Linked DNA regions of Oryzias latipes. The protein of the gene in region 1 purifies or fractionates together with the protein of each later gene. This does not show direct contact. Links are inferred from orthologs where the notes say so. Each region holds a gene or a part of one and is shown in the gene's direction. Other genes may lie near its edges.

Region 1 (2,873 bases):
GTTGCGTCAGGAATTTGCTGCTGCAAAGCTGCAAACTTGCTCAGTAATGTCAAATAATATATTTTTCAATGGTTTGCAGGCCTAAAATACGTATTTTTTCAGAGCAATTTAATTCAGTGTATTAAGATAGACAAATGCTTGTTTTAAGTGAATGAATATCATAGTGATACTTTAAGCAAAACTGTCAAGTGGCTACTGTAATTTTGTTATACTAAAAGTATTTTTTCTATTTTGAACACTATTGTTGCAGTTTACATTCTGATTTTATTTATTGAAAATGTAAACTGTTATGTCTATCAACTGGGATTTTTTTATATATGGTCACATATTTTAATTTATTTTTTCCCCATCTGCTTGAATGCCTCTGACAGGAGCTCATGAGCTGGAACAGATGCAGCTGATCCTCAACACAGTGCCTGTGCAGAGGGAGGAAGACAGACAAGAGCTATTACAGGTGACGCCAGAGGACACTTAAAGCTAAACAATTCCAAAATCACATTACATTAAATCATATCAAATACCGGTAAATTAAAAGGGTTAGAGTCGACATTTAATCACAATATATTTATAGAACCTTTTTTATCCTGCTTTCACAGGTCATGCCTTCATATGTCAGTCATGGATGGAGAGTCAAGACTCCCGTCTCAGAATTGCTGCCTGAAGTGGATGCTCAGGGTGAGCCTGGGGAATTATGGGGAGCTTGAAGGGGGAAGCGAACCTGTGAACTGTCAGAGAAAAGCATTGGAAGAGTCTGAAAGAAATAAAATACAGAAACTCTGACACACTGACTTGTGTCTGATGAAAAGATGAGAGAGATGCTGAAATATGCCAAAGAGTACAACGTAAAAGCTTTAGTTATTCTTAGGAATCTCCCCTTTTTGTTCTCCCAGCTGTGGACTGTCTTGAGCGCATCTTGACCTTTAACCCCATGGATCGTCTGACAGCTGAAGCAGCACTGTCCCACCCTTTCCTTCAGCAGTACTCCTGTCCTGAAGATGAACCCATTTCATCCAATCCCTTTCACATCGAGGATGAGCTGGAGAGCCTCATCTCACAGCAGAGCCTAAGCGCCAGCAGCAGTCACACCTCCAGCATCCACTGGGATAGGTGCAGATTCTGTTCTCTTTATTCCCTTGGTTTGCTAAATAAATACTATACAGAGCAAAGTGTTTGATAGCAATGCCATGAATTATTATTTTGACATAATTATTGCTTCATTACATTCGGAAAAATACAACATGTTATTACATAAGTATAGGGTCTGATTAGAATTCATCAGAAAAAGAAGACAATGTATAAGTATCATTAAATTTATTTACTGTACATTATAAGATGTATTTATTTATGTAAATTACATTATAAATAAAACATATTGTACATAAATCGATGATAAATATGTATATCTATGTATGTATATCTTTATATGTGCATACATATACATAACTATACATGTACTACAAGGAAATGTCAATATCTTTCCCATCTGCAGGTATGACAACAGTTTATCAACTGGCATGTGCTGGCAACAGTCAGCTGACAGGTGTCGCTGCATCCCCGCTGGTCAAGTTCGATCTGATCTGGGAGATAACTCAGAGAATGAAGAGGTGCGCAGAGATCCACGGGCCAGTTTCAGCTCGCTGGCAGAGGAGGCTCAGGTTGTCAAGTTATTTCGCTATTATTGATTTGTACCGACTGAAGCATCCTGTTTCAGTCGTATGAAAAGAACAAAGCAGCTAGGGTGAATCCTTTGAAAGACAAAAAGGAGCATTAGTTTGCTGATATTGTATTTCATATTGATTTAAAAAATAATCTTTTCTATTTACCATGATAGTAAGAATCGCATATGTTCAAATAAGTGTCTTATTTTTTAAAAAGGGGAAATAAGACTGTGGCTCCTATTGTTGTCAGTGAGAACTTTACCTGAATGGCTCCTTAAGTGTTGAAGGTTGCCAACCTCTGACTTAGAGTCTATGAAATGGTTCAAATCACGTGACCTCAAGTTAATGTCAGTCCTATTCTCCTAATTTGTTTCCTTTTTTTATACAGGTTGACCCACGCAAATACTCTCACAGCAGCTCAGCCGAGCGCTTCCTCGAGAACTCTCACTCCTCGCTGGAAAGAGTTTGTGGTGTCGGTTTGGGGGAGTTAGACTGCGGCCGCTCGTGCGACTACAAAGTGGGCTCCCCTTCATATCTCGATAAAATTGCCTGGCGAGAGGGAAAGCCTCAACATTACTCCGAGCCTAAGCTGATTCTGGATCTGTCTCACTGGAAGTGCAAAAAGAGCAACCTGTCAATGCCTGCTGAGCCCATTGGTGGCAGCATGGAAGACCTGGGGAAAATGAAGGAAGAAGAAGCAAGTAAGGATGAGGAGGAGAGTGAGAATCTGTTTCAAGAAATTTCTCGCTGGGTGGAGAGCACGCAGTGTCGTTTTCACTCTCCTAGTCCCAGTCCTTCATCAGAGCAACGCTCCTGCTACACCTCTTCTCCACCTCTCCCGCTCTCTCCCACTGATCTCCAAACACCCGTCTTCCAGTACACAGAAGTTGTGGATCATTCATCAGCTGAAGATGAACAACTCAGCCTCTTTCCATCTCTAGCATCCTCTTACAATAATCTTCCCTCCCTTTTCCCCTCATCACCAACAGGTCTTCTCTCTCCGGACGTAACTGAAAGACTTTTACCTTCCGACACTCTCCACTCTCAACATAAGGAATCTCAACCCCCTTCCTCCACCTCCTCTTTAGCTCCGTCAGTAAAAGCTGACTCTTTGGAGTCTCTGCCTGTTAAGCATAAGGAGCGACTGCTTGACCTGGACGCTTTTATATCTCGGGCACTCCAACTATGCCGGCAGAATAAGGAGAAAGCTAATGG
Region 2 (4,190 bases), on another chromosome or scaffold:
TATATATATATATATATATATATATATATATATATATATATATATATATATATATATATATATATATATATATATATATATATTGCATTTACACTGAGTTGATTTTTTATGTAAAAATCAGCATATTTCCCTTATTTTAATTTTGAAATGTTGACTGTTTATGTGCTTCAATTTGAAAGTGTCCGAATACAAAACATTATTTTGAACAAGTAAGTCTTCCATCAGTCCTGAAATCAACGGATTCAGTGGACCCAGCACACAATTTAAGCAACTTGAAAGTGAAGGAAAAACAACCATTTTCACCCCCAAATATTGGACATGTATTTTATTAATAAATCAAACTAGGCTACTTAAAAATTGCATAATTATCATCAAATGTGATTATTTGTCAATCAAGCTTTAGAAAACCATCATGATTAAATAATAATTTTAATAATAAATAATAATAAATTAAAAACATTATAAATGCTTGAGGCATATGTTGGCCCCTATTTATTTATTGTTGTTTAACTAAAATAATGCAAAGAAAATATTCCAAAGACCAGTCTCTTTCTTTACAAGTGATTTTGCTAGTCAAGGCTAATTTAAAAAAAGGGACAAAACTTATTTATAATAAAAAAAAACCCTGTCTACAGATGATCTAATATTTGCATAACATGCCAAACGCTGTCTTAAAATTTTATATATTTTTTAACTTTTCTGTATTTTTTTGTTTGTTTTTGCAAGTGATAGAAACCTAATAAAAAGTCTTTAACGTAAATATTTTTCAAATGTTTTACAGCTGAAGTCATCATGACACCATGAAAAAGTTCTTCATATACAGGTACCACGATTGGTTACTCTGACTCGAACTTTACAACATTTTAGCTTTTTTATGGTTCCAAAATGAAATAACTTGTAGCGCTTCAAACGCATTTATAAATGGAATTGAAAACAACTCAATTCATTCAATAATTAACGGAGGACAAACAATGGTGTAACAGTTTACTTTGCTTTTTCAAACATCACAAAATAAACGGTGAAAATGCAGATGTAATTATGCTTAAACAAAAAAATGAATTGTCTTCACAATGCGTTGTTTAATAATGGCGATTAAACTATAGGGAAATACATTTTAGAGCTATGAACAGTATTAAAAAAAAGACTTCGCGTTTCTAATTTGGACCTTTTTATTACCCGTAGGTCAATACTCCTGACGGATGGCTGTTGTAACCGGAAATGGTTTCCTGCCATAATATAATACCTACGCAACGACTTCAAGTTTTATTAGATCTTTATTGAGGGCCTATTCAGTCATGTACAAACCATTTATCATTCCTTATGACATTATAAAGATTTAGAAACCCCTTTTTAATCTTGAATCAGAATGACAAATCTTTTACAGAGCACTTTTACTTTTATTTTGAAAAGATTGCTGCCCAATTCCGGTGTAATTTCAGACCTCTTCGAACAGTGAAGCATCCGTTGACTTCCATGAGGTTCTTGCTCGTGTCCTCCGTGGACTGTAAAAGGTGAGTTCAACAATAATAATAATACATTAAACTGAACGTTATGACATTCCTATTAGACATTCCTATTTTCTCTTTGACACACAGTAATATTTTTTCACAGACATGAACGAACTTAGGTTTACCCTCTGCTAGCTCAAATCGTTGTCATTAAGTTTAAGTCCTTATTTTTGATTGTTATTTATTTTCAGCTGTGCTAGCTAAGTAGTTGTTTAAATACAATCATTTGACATCATAATACTGCCAATAAAGTTTTACTGAAAACCTCTGAAACATCCCAAGTAGGTCACATGATTAAATACACCAAAAAGGTAGACTTTTGAACATTGGGACTAGCGGTCAAAAATGGCATGCAATTTTATAAAATATTATTAAATAAGTACTTTTAAATTATGCCAAATAATACCAAAGTGCATGGTGTTTTTTCTTATTATTGGCCGCTCTTTTGGATTTTTCTGACAGACAAAAGAGACATTTTTTAAATTCTTTTTGTAATTTAATATAAGAAACATTCCTATTTTCTTCAAATTGCTGTCCTTCAAATTGCTTTCTTTTTCATTTTAGTCTCCCACATGATGGCGGCCCGAGTGCTTTGTCGGCACGGTTGCAGAGTGAACTCTGTCCATGGGTTCAGGAAAAAGTTTTCCCAGGCTGAAGACGTACACCTCAAACTAATAGAGGAGACTGATCATCAGGAGGAGCAGAAAACGTTGTCACGCCAAATCCCTTCTCCATCCCCGTACAGACTGTATTACAATCCTTCATCTTATTACTACCCTTCAAGGGACTCTGCAAATTCCCACAGTCAAACAGATGACCATGAAGAAGAACAAAGGCCATCTGACGTTGTACCGTCTTTCAGGCAACAGAGCAATCGATACAGCGTGAGTTGCTCGCGGCACCTTTCAAGCTCAAATAAACTTCTTGATTTAGCTTTCAATAAGGCCCCTGAAACGGACAAAACGTCAGTGCTGCAAATTCACAAAAAGACAGTAACACCAGATGTTAAAGTAAATCCACGTGCTTTCCTTAAGACTCGACCGGAGTACGCTTCCACGAGTCTTGACCTCACTCAGCGTCCGGATCCGGTTGAATGGGTCGAGGTGCTGCCTGTTCTTCAAAACGTGTCCTTGTTAAAGGGCAGAATGAAACCGTCTGATGTGTCCCAGTTGCTGGCCGAACTCAGCAGGTTGCACGCTGACAAGATGGCGCTGCTGAGAAGCGACCCGCGCTTTCTGACGCTGCTCCGATACTCCGTGAAGCACCTTCGCCTCTTTTCCCTCTCTGAGCTGCTGGAGGTGCTGCGATTGTTTGTGTGGGTGGAGATGCCGTCCTCCCACGCGATTTTTGAGACTTATGAGGAGGAGCTGAGCCAGCGGGCCAAGCAAATGACTTTTCAAGAGCTGTTGTTTGCAGCTGACTTGTGGCGCTGTATTGGAAGGCAGGTGCCTCAGTTCTTAGAGTACCTGTATACTTCAGTCCACCTCCATTTGGGTCAGATCAATGTCCCTGAACTGGTGCACCTGCTTTATATCATAGGTGAAGGGAGACACTGCCCAAAAGACTTGGTTCGCCCGCTAGAGCAGCTTCTTATGCATCATTTACATCTATTGCATCCTGAGGAGGTCGGCACGGTTTGCTTAGGCCTTTTCAAATCCCAAACTTCAGTTTCTGAAAGCGCAGTGACTCGTATTGTTGACAGGGCTCTGTCCTTTGTCAGTGAGATGAGCAACTTTGGGATAGTGAACGTGCTGAAGTACATGCGCTTCAGTTATCTTTTTCACAAGCCATGGCTGGATGCGATGGCGCAGGAGATTCCCCGTCGGAGTCACGGGATGGGCGTTCAAGGGCTGATGCATGTGACATTAACCTGTTCAGCTCTTCATTACCGTAATGATGGAATCCTCTCTGCTGTGGCTGAGAGAATTCCTTCCCTGGCGCCGCATTGCAGAAGTAAAGATTCCTGCAAATTACTGTGGGCCTTTGGCTCTTTGGGGTTTCTCCCAACTCAGAGTCCGGGTTTCTACCCGAGCCTAACGGAAGCCCTGAGGCAGAGGAAAGCTGAGTTTCAGCGGTACCCAGAGCACCTGCTCACAGGTCTACTAGGCTTAGTGTTCATCTCTCAGTTCCCAGAGGACCTGGTTGCATTAGCTTTAAGCCCCGAATTTGTCCACTTAGCATTGAAACGCTCCCAGCTGGAGCTGAAAAAGGACCTGCTGACTTTAGATGGAGCTGTGGCTCTGGAGCTGCCCCAGTGGACCGGCCCACGATTGAGCCGTGAACTCAGGGAGGAGGTGGCAGAAATGCTGTGGACATTTGCACAGTCAGATGTGTGCCAGAAACCTGAAGTAGTCGAGGCTGAAACTGCTCTACAGGATCTGCTGGGGGGAGAGCAGTTTGTGTGTAAGCGGATGATCCTGCCTCACACTCGCTCCATCGACCTGGAAGTACACCTGGACTCCACAGGACAACCTATACCTGTCCTCCCACCATGTTCAGCACATAATCCCGCCTCCCCGGTTCCTTCTCATCAAGACTGGGAGAAGTTAAACACAGGAATAACCATCACGGATGAACTCATCGGACAATTATGTAATTTAAAAACCACTGCACATTCTTCTGCTCAGTCCTCCATAATCAAGCCTCCATCTCTTCAGAGATTTCTTCCTGATGAAGGTGAGA

What was found. Proteins that work in one complex are often made in the same cells at the same time.
Region 2: the proteins of mapk4 (region 1) and fastkd5 purify together in Homo sapiens (affinity purification with mass spectrometry; 3 studies listed by BioGRID and IntAct, with this or other methods). This does not show direct contact. The link is inferred for Oryzias latipes from reciprocal best matches to the Homo sapiens genes MAPK4 and FASTKD5.

What each region holds. Positions count from the first base shown.
Region 1 is NC_019867.2:9,597,204-9,600,076, reverse strand, and holds part of mapk4 (mitogen-activated protein kinase 4), read left to right. Parts: intron 1-371; coding exon 372-454; intron 455-596; coding exon 597-675; intron 676-890; coding exon 891-1,107; intron 1,108-1,489; coding exon 1,490-1,655; intron 1,656-2,046; coding exon 2,047-2,873. UniProt on the Homo sapiens protein: Atypical MAPK protein. Phosphorylates microtubule-associated protein 2 (MAP2) and MAPKAPK5.
Region 2 is NC_019879.2:23,598,155-23,602,344, forward strand, and holds the start of fastkd5 (FAST kinase domain-containing protein 5, mitochondrial), read left to right. Parts: upstream 1-1,390; 5' UTR 1,391-1,511; intron 1,512-2,072; 5' UTR 2,073-2,080; coding exon 2,081-4,190. UniProt on the Homo sapiens protein: Plays an important role in the processing of non-canonical mitochondrial mRNA precursors.